Linked DNA regions of Nothobranchius furzeri. The protein of the gene in region 1 purifies or fractionates together with the protein of each later gene. This does not show direct contact. Links are inferred from orthologs where the notes say so. Each region holds a gene or a part of one and is shown in the gene's direction. Other genes may lie near its edges.

Region 1 (4,279 bases):
ATCGTGTGTTTCCACTATATCTGTCACGTAATTTAAAATTTGTAATTAAAAAGACTACGATGGATCGTTGTCTACATATTTAATCTGCCATTTGATTTGACTGATGGACAGCATTGATGCGTTCATATTTCACAACAAATGTATAAACTCTACAAAGAAAAAACAAATACAGCAAATGTGTTCAGTGACAGAAAAGAATATTAGCAGAATATATTTCCTGTGAGGATTGGCCAACAGTACTATTGTAAAAGACAATGTGACGTGACTCTTCTCCTGTGAAAATACATTTACAATTTAAGCACATGAAAATGTATAGCTTTTTTTTCCACATTTTATCATTTTCTTTTATTTGCTTTGCCCATAATTTAATTTACATTGTAGCAAACAGTGATTGCAGCATCCATTTTTCCTCTGAAAAATTAATTCTGCCTTAATATCACATTGTTTTTTCTCACTGCCAGACTAGTGTGTCATTTTGCCAAACCTAACAGTCACACACACACACACACACACACACACACACACACACACACACACACACACACACACACACACACACACACACACACACACACACACACACACACACAAAGTAAAATGAAAGAAAATCTCACTCCAAGACTTTTTTTTAAAGATGGCAGCCCTTGAAGCTATATTTCTTTGATCATGGAGTTCAAACGCAGTTGACATCTCTCTGAATCTGTGGGAATCTCTGAGCTGTGATGCCCTACAGCTGCACATCTCCATTCATGAATATTTAAAATGAATATGGTCTGGATGTCAGGTCTGATAGGACACAGATGATGTATCTCATCTGTATGTATCTCAAGTAGGTCTGTTGTGCATCCATCGGATTAAATGTTTCATGAAGGCATGACTATAACCGGGATTTAAAAAATCTCTGCATGCTGAATCTTCTTCTGCAAGCTGTGAGACCATGCATGGTTGTCAGCAGGTTGTCCAGCAACTAGAAGGGTGTATGATTGATTCAGACAGCTGCTGTTGTGTCCTTGGGCAAGACACTTGGTGGTGGTGGTTGGAGGGACCAGTGGTTTTATCATGAAGCCAGCCAATACAACGAACTGTACCATACAATTTATTGTTTGTTATATTTTAAAAAGTGACTAGTTCTCTGTTTCCCAGCTTCAAATTAAAGGGGAAGAAAATGCCCTTTGACTCACTTTTTGCATAAAGTAAATGTATAATTTACTTTGGGGCATTTCTAGTGCCCTCTTGTGGGGGAAAAATAAAACTTTTGAAAGGTCACATTTTTACAGTTGAAATTTTGGTGAATTATTTTGAAATTTATTCAACAATATCAAGAATTTGGCATTTATGTGGAACATTTGAATTATTTATTTCATATTTGAGTTCAAAAGAGAGTTGGTGATTTTTTGAGACTTTTTTCATAGGTGATTAAATTTTCTCTTTAAAAGAAAATATTTCGTCTTTTAAGAATCCCTGCATTGAGTAAAGTCTCCAAAAACATTTATTTAATTTTTATTTATTTTAATTTTATTTTTAGCGAATCAGCCAATTACACGTGAAGAACGCGTGAGACGTAACGAAAGTGCTGAGCCGGAACGACGGCAGTATTTACTTGTTTCGTGAGATTTCATCATTCTCTGGAGGTCGCGTTACAGCGGTCCATGCTTCTCCGCAGCGCAGCGTTATCACTGCTGAGGACCAGCGCTGAGATTTCCTTCTCCTGTCGGCCGGTAACGGTCCGTTTGTGTCGGCTGTCCCATCGCCAGCCGCTCGGTAGAAGGCCCTTTTCCACCTCGGTCTGCCTGCTTAAGAAAAAGAAAAAGAGCCTGTGGCTGCAGCTTGCGGAAGAAAAGACCATGGACGGAAACATTGAGGAGATTCTCGCCCCTTTGAGGCTTGCTGTGAAAGAACAGGTAATATTTGCTTTCTGCCACTTTAAAACTAGTATATTTTTTTTAAAGTAGTGAGGTAACTTAAGTGAGAAACGGTCTGAAGTGGTTAAGCTAACCGGCTAGCCTAGCCGGCTAACCCCAGCCTGTCAATGAATGAGAGCAGACTGGAGTCGCTACAGGAGCTAACCGCTAGGTGATATTCATGTGCCACGTTTCAGAGCTGCTCTGCAGGCTGATGATAGCAGGGTGGGGTTGTTTTATATTTTTTTTAAAGGAGGTTTATTTTGTGCTGCTACCAAAAACAATCATCAATCTTTTTGCTTCCCAAACACGTCCAGGCGTTGGCTCAGTTATTTTTGGCGCAGTGGTTTGCAATGTTTTCTTCTGGTTTAGGGAGAGCTGGTGCGCCAAATGAAACAGGAAGGAGCTCCTGAAGTGGATGTGACTAAAGCTGTAGCTGAACTGAAAGCAAGGAAGAAAGCTCTAGAAGCCAAGGTAAGAAATTCATAGTTTCATTTGTTATGATTTCATCTGAGAGGGATGCCAGTCCCACACGTTCATCCATGCAGAGATGACACAAATTTGGCACTGATCAAATGGTAATATCACAAACTGACATGTATATTAGTATTTAAAGAGCTTGTCATTGGTTGCACACATCAAAACAAATCAACTTAAGTAGTGGTGAAGCTGAGAGTCTGCAGCCTCCTGGCTAGTATTCTTGGGACAGTCATATATAATTTTACCTCTGTGTTGCACAATTTGCAGGAACTGGCATTGCAACCCAAAGATGACATTGTTGACAGACCCAAGATGGAGGATACCCTCAAGAGGCGGTTCTTCTATGACCAGGCCTTTGCTATCTATGGAGGTAATGCTCTGGTGGCTAATAATAGAAATCGAGATTAAACTGACACCTGATGCATTCATTAACTCTCCTCAGGTGTGAGTGGCCTGTACGACTTTGGTCCTGTTGGCTGTGCCCTGAAGAACAACATCCTGCAGGCTTGGAGGCAGCACTTCATCCAGGAGGAGCAAATCCTGGAGATCGACTGCACCATGCTGACCCCTGAATCCGTCCTCAAGTAGGCGACTGGTTAAAGAAAAGTGGTTTAGTTGGAATAGTTATTACTCACATGGAAATTAAAGAGAATTGGCATTCTTTTGTGGAATGCTAGGCCACATTACGGCTGGAGGAAGTGCCTGGTGGTTCCTGGAGTCGGCTCTGAAGTGCTGAACTTTAGGTTTTTAATAACAGGCAAACATTGATTTCTGTGATTTTATGCATGGAAGCTGCCTCTATAGCAGCGCTCCATAGCCCGGTCGCAGATACACTTGTTAAAGACATAAGAATCACCTTGTTTGTTCTCTCGTTGATGCTGATTGATTGTTGCACCTTTGGCTCCTCCAGGACTTCAGGACACGTAGAGAAGTTTGCAGACTACATGGTGAAAGACGTGAAGAACGGTGAATGCTTCAGAGCCGACCACCTCCTCAAAGGTGAGAATTTGTCTCTTTCTTCTTTTTTTTTGAAAGGTTTAAATCTGCATGGGACTCTGTCGTGGCGATGCGCCTCGGGGAGAATGAGAAACATCAGTCTGGATCACAGAGACTCCACCCGCGCTAAAAGCCTGTTTGGATGTTGAGACATGTCAGTTCCTGTTGCGTCGCTTCAAAAGATGATTTAATTAACAATCGGAACGAAAAACGTTTCACATTTTGATCTTAACAACTTCAGAAAGCTTTTTAAAAATTCCAGATTCGTCTAATTTAGTACAAGAACTAACTTATTAGGAAGAAATCTTGGAAGGAGGATTTGAATTTAGACTAAAAATTCCTTCAGTTCAGTCCTTTAGAGTTTTTACCAAACGGGATAACGGTGAGTGGTTTCTGCTGCAGCTCATCTCCAGAAGCTGATGTCCGATAAGAAGTGCGCCGCAGACAGGAAGTCAGAGATGGAGAACGTCATCACTCAGGTTGGTCTTCACTCAGAATCTCTACTGATATGATTCGTCATCGCCCTTCTCATTATATTTCGTTGTTTTCCAGTTGGATAACTACTCCCAACAAGAGCTGACGGACCTCTTTGTCAAATACAACGTGAAGTCGCCGACTACAGGAAACGAGCTCTCTCCCCCCATCGCCTTCAACCTGATGTTCCAGACGTCCATCGGCCCGGGAGGAAACATGCCCGGGTATGATCCAGCTCAAACCGGAGGAGCTTTAGTGACGTGTGCAGATTTTTACCGCAGGTTCTGGTCTGAATTTGCAGCTATCTGAGGCCTGAAACCGCTCAGGGAATCTTCCTAAACTTTAAGCGTCTCCTGGAGTTCAACCAGGGCAAACTCCCCTTCGCTGCTGCTCAGATAGGAAACTCCTTCAGGAACGAAATCTCCCCT
Region 2 (4,287 bases), on another chromosome or scaffold:
CCCAAAGTCAGACTCTCTTGGTCAGCGTGCTTCCCACACCAAACCTTCTGTCAGGAATCTTGGCGTGACCTTTGACCCAGCTCTCACCTTGCATTCTCATGTCAGTTCTCTTGTTTGCTCTTCCTTCTTCCATCTCAGGATCATTGCTAAGCTGAGCCCCATTCTGTCCCGCTCTGAACTTGAGACAGTTATCCACTCCTTCATCTCCTCATGCTTAGACTACTGTAACTCTCTTTTCACGTGTCTGAGCAGAACCTCCCTGAACCGTCTACAGGTGGTTCAGAATGCCTGTGCTCGGCTTCTGACCAAGTCCTCCAAATACACCCACATCACCCCGCTTCTCCTCCAGCTTCACTGGCTGCCAGTCAACTTCAGGGTTCATTTCAAGATCCTGGTTCTGGTCTATAGGACCTTACATAGACAAGCACCATCTTACATTGGTGATCTTCTTAGTCCCTACACCCCCAGCAGGTCCCTGAGGTCCAGTGACCAAAGCCTACTGGTTGTGCAGTGCACCAGGCTAAAGACCAAAGGTGACAGATCATTTGCTGCTGTGGCCCCCAGACTCTGGAACTCTCTCCCCCTGAGCCTGAGATCAGTGGACTCAGTGGTCTCCTTTAAAAAGCAGCTGAAGACTCACTTGTTCAAGCTGGCTTTTGGATGACCTTTTTCACCCCTCTCTCTTTATTCTGCTCTCCCCACCTATTCCACCTTCCTCAGGATCCACTGACTTCCCTCTTTCCTATTCACTCTCTCTTTCTTAACATTTTTTCTCTTAAATCCCAATTGCCTATTTTTGCTCATTTTAAATATATATTTTTAAACATTTTCTAAATGCTTTTTTATATTTTTACTTTTTTTTTGTTTTTGTGAAGTGCCTCATGATTTTTATCTTGAGAGGCGCTATAGAAACGATATTTTCTTCTTCTTACACTCTTATTGACACACACACACACACACACACACACACACACACACACACACACACACACACACGTATTTTTTCTCTTCCTTCCCTCAGACAAAGTTAAGCCCCTCTTTTGCCACCCTGTCAAAATTTTCTCTATGCCCGCCACTGGCTGGAGGACCTGAATACTGTCATACCTAAAAAAAATAAATAAATAAAAATCCGTGGCCTTTGTTAAAATGTGAATTTGTACGTTTCCCTGACGTAATGCCTCATTTGTTTACAATTATTCCACATTTGACGGCTGCCTGCCTGCTGCTCCTTAAGGTGCGCTGGATGGCATCAGCAGGATATACCGAGTTTTCTGCCCTCCTTTCGCATCCTGATGCCACGTCAGGAGAGCATACGCAGGAAGATTAAACTTGACTGACATCCCGATCGACCAATCAGGTGGCGCCATTGGAGATGGTGGTTGGCTCTACACAGAAGGGGGCGAGGTTTACTGACAGGCATCCCCGGATACCACCAGAAACTGAGTAACTGTATCTGCTACTCAAGCTGTAGACATGTGTGGTGAGTAGTTGTTCTGCGCGCTTTTGTTATTTAGTCAAAATGTATATTACTTATTAGCCATGATGAACAGTAGACAGAACTGTAACAGCGTGTGTAGACTACAGTTTCAGTGTGACGGTTGTTAGCTAGGGTGGCTAAGCAGAAACTAGCAAACACGAGCTGATGTTTCTGATGCTGCTACTCAGCTAAATATAAAACACTCACTGTTTGATTTTCTGCTACTCCCTCTGGTTGTGAGTATTGGGTTTTAGTTGTGACATGTCATGCTGACCGAAACTAAAGTTAATACAGCGTTCTTCCTCGCAAGGGCTAAACGCCCACCTCTCGTTACTTTCTGTTAGTTAAGTATTAATTTAGATTTTTGGGTTTCTTTTGAAACAAATGTGTTTACGTGTCTTAATATAAAATAAATGTAACCGAAAGTCACTAAAGTCAGATAGAAAAATACCCTTAAATACGCCTTTATTTCTAATACGTGTGCCTTGCTCATGGTCGCTGGGTAGATGCTGTGCTTTGTGCTCGTCAGACCGATAGCTGATGTCAGTCTACCATCATTGTCATTGCTATCTGACCAGACCCGATAAACCAGTCTGTTCTCATATATATTAAACTGTTTGTTCCTCGCTGACGTTGATCTTCTTTGTCCTCATCTCTTCATCAGAAGTTGTAATTTATTTCCCCCTCTCTCTTCAGCGGTTTCTCGGTCACCCCCACCTCTCCCACTTGCTGTTCTGAATGAAAGCCCTGTTTCATTCAGTCAGCTGGTTTTACATTTGCATTTCTCCAACAGAGTAGATCCAAGTAATAAACTTGGTTCCTCCTTTGACTAGAGTGGCATAGCTTGCAGTGTTTGCACTGGATGTCACAAAGTGCAGATTAAGGCAGCTGGAAGTGAAATGCTCAAATCATGATTTGTGACAGTATTTGGAGCTGTTACTGTAGCATAATTGTGTTTAAGTTTATAGGAATTATCCAGAAAATGTGATTGCATATTAAAAAGTGTGTATGTGAAGCTAAAATGTGTCCGATGGGTTTCTGTCTTAAGACCATTGAACCGCCTTAAATGCTCTGTTCTGTTTCAAAGTTCTTCCTAACAAGACATAACAATGTCTGCAATTGTGGTTATCCTCCTTGTAAGACCGGTATCTACAAACGCAGCTCTTCAGCTTTGCGACACAGAACCCCAAACAACTCGAGCTGGCGTCATCAAATAACTTTAGTTTCTCATGTCAACAAAAGGATTCCTTCTAATTGTATTCCTAGTTTTTGTCTCTGCCTTAATATATTCGGCGTTGCAGTTGGGTTAAACTAGTTTACAATTGAGTGAGCTGTAAGAACAGTGTTTAAAAATTATTATTACTGCCACATAATGTGGATCTTCTAGATGAAAAACAAAACAAGTAGAACCAGAGTAAAGAAAGTAAAGAGTTAATGAACTTTGTCTCTTAAGCTGTCCTCTAGACTTTGTTTACTGCAATGAGATTCTAGGTGTTTATTTATGATTTTAAGTTATTTTATTTATTTAGAATGGTTTGGGTAGTCATTTTTGTTCTCTCATTTCTCTAGAATGATATTAAATGACAGAAATAAAGTTTTGGGGACTTTCGCCTTTTTTCAGGAATCTTTGCCTATCTCAACTACCATGTTCCAAGGACTCGTCGTGAAATCCTTGAGATCCTCCTCAAAGGGCTTCGACGTCTGGAATACAGAGGCTACGACTCAGCTGGTGAGAAAGAATCAAGAGGGGTCTTCTCCCTGTTTTAATTTCTCTTTTATCAGGTTTTTGTACATTTTGTATTCTTGTGAGATATTTATTTGGACGCTATCGCTCAGGAACCTGTGATAGGACTTTTATGAGCTAAGATGTTTGGAATAGTTGTAGTTGAGATGATAAATCAGGTCATAATTTCATTTGATATGTCAGCATCAAGAAACTAAGCTCTACGGTTGACCCTAGTCGACTGTTTAGTATATATTCACACATTAATTAAAAAAAATGTCCAGGTGTGGGAATCGATGGAGGCAATGGCAAGGATTGGGAAGCAAATGCCAAGTCCATCCAACTGATCAAGCAGCGTGGAAAAGTGAAGGTCCTCGATGAGGAGATCAATAGTAAGATGAAGGTTACACTTACACTTTGTTTCTGAAAGTCCCGGGAATCTAATTGTGGTTCGTTTTGTGTTTGTGCGACCTTCAGAGCAGCAGGATATTGACCTGGATGTGGAATTTGATGTTCACCTGGGCATCGCTCACACTCGCTGGGCGACCCATGGTGAGCCCAGCCCCGTCAACAGTCACCCACACAGATCCGACAAGAACAACGGTCAGCTGTGTTAAAGATGCCGAACCAAACAATTGTTTGTTTGAACTGTGCTCAGATGTCAGAGGTAACTGAAGGTTAAATGTTCTCTTTCTAAACTTACAGAATTCATTGTGATTCACAATGGAATCATCACCAACTACAAGGACCTGCGGAAATTCTTGGTGGGTAAAAGTTTTTCTTCTATAGTTGTGTATGTAATTTAATCACTTATGGTAGTTGAGTCTCACCCACTTACCATCTCCTCAGGAGAGCAAAGGCTATGAGTTTGAGTCTGAGACGGATACAGAGACCATTGCCAAGCTGGTGAAGTACATGTATGACAACCGGGAGAATGATGACATCAACTTTGCCACATTAGTTGAGCGTGTTACTCAGCAGCTGGTAAGAACCTTTTGACCTTTGTTTGTGTGTTACTGACGAATAACAACTGAACACATGTTTTAACTTCCTTTCTCCATATTTTTAGGAGGGAGCTTTTGCACTT
Region 3 (3,607 bases), on another chromosome or scaffold:
TATTGTCAGGGCGGTTTTGAAATCTTTCCACTACAGCGTCACAGTTAGAGGTTTCTCCATCATAAGGCAGACTTAATAGAAGCTTAATTACAGTCTGGCCCCTTTCAGATTCTGATGTTGGAGCTTTGAAGGAAACTGGGGAGCAAAGACGGATTAGCCAGCAGCCTCTTGTTTTCACAAGAAACAAACAGTTTGTTTCCGTCCCCCTATAGCAGCGCTGTGCTCTGGCGTCCAGCCAGGCTAAATTCCTCCAGTTATTTCAAACTGAGATCTATGACGAATTTTCCACCCCGTGGATGGGAAATGATTTAAAAAAAAAAAAACTTGTGCACATGTTCAATAGTAGCTTGTCGATTGTGATGCGATAAATCTAAAAACTGGCCAAAGTCCTCCCTCAGCCACTTGAGAAATATTAATTAAACTTTTCTATAGACTAAGAGCTGGACACACACATATACACACACCATCAGAACGAGGACCTTGACTCGTAGAAGCCTATAAAACTTTCCTCCATTGATTGACTGCTCTTTTATATCTAGCTTTTCCCATTCTTCTGCCCTTGAGGTGTGTGTGCACTGCAGAGGGAGTGTGTGTATGGCCATGCACAGATGTGCACAGCTGCACACTGTAGATTAGAATGAGATCAATGGGTTTGGATGCAGCAAGGTTAGTGGGAGCAAGCAGCAAGCGATGCCAAAATAGATGGGCTTTGTTCCAGCTAAACATCCCATCATCCTCTTCTGTCTTTATTTGTTACTATACTGTCTGTTTTCTGCGTTTTATTACCAAAATGCCTTTTCTGGTTAGTCTTTCCAGTAGTTTTTTTTTTTTACCCTTGTCTTTTCTTCTTTTTGGGAGCTGTACTCCCTTTTTCTATTACTAATGAAAACAATGGTCAAAAAGCAACTTGTTGCTAAAAAGTGATTTGTTGCATCTTCTGGAGTTTGATACCATGGCTTGAAATATTAGTTATGCAGCATTTTGTTGTACCGTTACTTTGTCTCACAGCATCACAGGAATGAACAGAATCTTTTTAGTTTTCTTTCTTTATTTTCGTGCATAAAAAATATCTTTTTGATTATCAGGGACATTTGGTGCCGTCTGATGAAATAACCGTGTACTACCGCTGCCGACCAGAGGGGGAATACTTGGCATCTGTGATCCAGGCTCACACCGACTTTATTCTGGCCACCACCAAGGCTCCACTTCTGCTCTTCCCTGTTCCCGATACTGCCAGCGTCATCATAGAGGAAACGACTCCGGTATGAGACGATGCCTTCAGGAGAAGTGGGATTTGTTTGTCATGGTGTGATTCATACTCACGAACATGCAGGCTGTTGTTTCTTCATGAAACATGCTGATGCCGATCAATGTATGAAATCACAAGTATGAGTCACACTTAACACATGATTACTCTCATATTGGTATTAATACCTTGCATCTATAAATGTAGTACTCGTCACCTCATTCCTTCTTTTCAGACTATGTTTTTATTCATTTGAGCTTTTGTTTGGTTGTATTTGTAGTTGAAGGGCTCAGACTTGGAGTTGACCATAGTAAAAGGATCTTCATCTCCTCGAGCAATACTAAACGGACCAGCCTGCACATATGTCAACCTCAGAGTGAAGGTCAACCACAAAGAACAAGGTAACACAAAGTCTTACTGTAACCATGTTTTGGTTGTCTGTGACTGCACACACACATAGCACAAATTTGGTGCTATGCAAGCAAAATATGTATCTTTGATGATCCTGTTTGTATTTGTGTGTATTTTCTCCTCAGAGGGTGTTGTGCTGTTGGAGAACCCCAGAGGGGATAACAGACTTGACTGGAACAAACTGAAGAATGCCTGCAGGAACATTTTTGGAACCAACAACACCTCACTGAGATTCTTCAGTGGTGGAACCGGTATGTGATGTTTTCTAAAACAATAAATTGTGTGTGCTAATTATCTCCCACCATGGCATGTTAAAACTGACCAGTATTATAAATGAACAAAAACGGAATTTTGTTTTCTTCTATTTTTCTAAAAACTATTTGCTCACATGTTCTTTTGTGTGTTTTTTACAGAATTGTCCAACGAAACTGATCTGCAAGCCCTGAGTGGCAAAACTTTGTTGGTGGTGTCAGACCCCTCCTCTCTGGGCTCTGCCCCCCCTGCTGCTGACACCCTACTGTGCCCCTATGTTAACCTGTTGCTGTGCGACGCACAGCCAGCTGGTGAGAAACACCTACAACACACACACACACACACACACACACACACACACACACACACACACACACACACACACACGTTCCCCTTATTCAAGAGGAAGGGTGGACATGTGTTTAGTCATTACAATCAATGTTTCCTAAAAGTGTTATTATAATCAGGAACTGTTGCAGAGGTTTTATTCTACTTTAAGGCTTTCGCTGCTTAACAGCTGATCATTTGTTTTTGATTGTTCTCAGTCTGAGTCCAAGTCTAATATACATTCTCATTTTCTGGAAGTCAGTTTTTCATATTTGAGATGGGGGCAATGTTTTATTTTATCCCTTGAAGAAGGCTTTTGAATTCTGTGGGAGAAATTGTTGACAACTTTAATTCCTGCGCAGGTTTTGCTTTTACTCACTCCTTTTCCCAGAGATTAAAGGCCAACTTTACGGGAAAAAAAACACGTATTAGTTATTTCTGATTATAAAGTTTTTCATGCAGGCTAAACATAAAAATAGTCTCCTGCACCTATCTCCTGCATTAGCTTCTCATAGAAAATAGACAGAAAAATGCTCAGTTCAGAAAAACCTGACAGATCTACGTCGCACTGTCACTTAACATTCATGGACTCACCCATCTTGACTCGTGACATGAAAGGCTGTTGTTGGTTTAACGTCCATGAAGCAGCAGAGAATGTCTCGACTAGTAGAAGCTAACTGTTAGCATTAGCAACTCCACCACTCAGCAGAACTCCTGCAGACTTGTGCGATTTATGAAGATAAAACATTAACGTTGCACAGCAAACCGAGTCTGTGGTAGAGTTGCATTGCTGTTAGCCAATCAGAGGTGAGATGTCCAAATATCGGGAAATAAGACTCCAAATCTTATCATCTGAAGCTACTTCTGGCTCCAGCTGCCTTCTACCTCCTCAGACAGGTGCACCAGAGTGTGCCCCCCCCCCCCCCCCCCCCCCACACACACACAGTATGACTTAAGAGGCATTCATTCCTACTAAAGACCACTGCAGAAGTATTGAAAATATGAGTAAAGTTGACCTTTAAGTTTAGGATTAGTAAAATTCTTCATTCAGATCAAATCCTATTTTGGAAATTTCTAATATCCTGTGTTTTCTTCAGAGTGCCAGGCTGGAGATGTTGGTACCCTCCTGTTGGTGAACCCGATGGGTCAGAATGCGCTTGATTACTCTGGTCTGCTCTCTGAGACAGCTAAAGTTTTCGGCCTTCGCAGTAGGCGGCTTAAACTCTACCTAGACCAGGACCAAAGTCATGGTAACACATTTTAACTAAAATAAGTGGGTTATTATCTCTGAACTCTAATGGATGGCATGAAATAATTAAAGGTGCAGTATGTAAGGATATAGTGAAAATTTTACAGTGACAAAATCTAATG

Evidence for each region.
Region 2: the proteins of gars1 (region 1) and glutamine--fructose-6-phosphate aminotransferase [isomerizing] 1 fractionate together in Homo sapiens (co-fractionation; 3 studies listed by BioGRID, with this or other methods). This does not show direct contact. The link is inferred for Nothobranchius furzeri from reciprocal best matches to the Homo sapiens genes GARS1 and GFPT1.
Region 3: the proteins of gars1 (region 1) and iars1 fractionate together in Homo sapiens (co-fractionation; 3 studies listed by BioGRID). This does not show direct contact. The link is inferred for Nothobranchius furzeri from reciprocal best matches to the Homo sapiens genes GARS1 and IARS1.

The regions. Positions count from the first base shown.
Region 1 is NC_091747.1:50,231,806-50,236,084, forward strand, and holds the start of gars1 (glycine--tRNA ligase), read left to right. Parts: upstream 1-1,465; 5' UTR 1,466-1,649; coding exon 1,650-1,901; intron 1,902-2,273; coding exon 2,274-2,375; intron 2,376-2,648; coding exon 2,649-2,751; intron 2,752-2,823; coding exon 2,824-2,965; intron 2,966-3,081; exon of another isoform or gene 3,082-3,217; intron 3,218-3,291; coding exon 3,292-3,380; intron 3,381-3,779; coding exon 3,780-3,856; intron 3,857-3,929; coding exon 3,930-4,075; intron 4,076-4,152; coding exon 4,153-4,279. UniProt on the Homo sapiens protein: Catalyzes the ATP-dependent ligation of glycine to the 3'-end of its cognate tRNA, via the formation of an aminoacyl-adenylate intermediate (Gly-AMP).
Region 2 is NC_091757.1:40,177,809-40,182,095, forward strand, and holds the start of glutamine--fructose-6-phosphate aminotransferase [isomerizing] 1, read left to right. Parts: upstream 1-1,386; 5' UTR 1,387-1,473; coding exon 1,474-1,480; intron 1,481-3,098; coding exon 3,099-3,206; intron 3,207-3,484; coding exon 3,485-3,592; intron 3,593-3,677; coding exon 3,678-3,803; intron 3,804-3,905; coding exon 3,906-3,964; intron 3,965-4,049; coding exon 4,050-4,184; intron 4,185-4,269; coding exon 4,270-4,287.
Region 3 is NC_091743.1:62,688,414-62,692,020, forward strand, and holds part of iars1 (isoleucine--tRNA ligase, cytoplasmic), read left to right. Parts: intron 1-1,085; coding exon 1,086-1,262; intron 1,263-1,526; coding exon 1,527-1,647; intron 1,648-1,782; coding exon 1,783-1,908; intron 1,909-2,070; coding exon 2,071-2,220; intron 2,221-3,333; coding exon 3,334-3,486; intron 3,487-3,607. UniProt on the Homo sapiens protein: Catalyzes the specific attachment of an amino acid to its cognate tRNA in a 2 step reaction: the amino acid (AA) is first activated by ATP to form AA-AMP and then transferred to the acceptor end of the tRNA.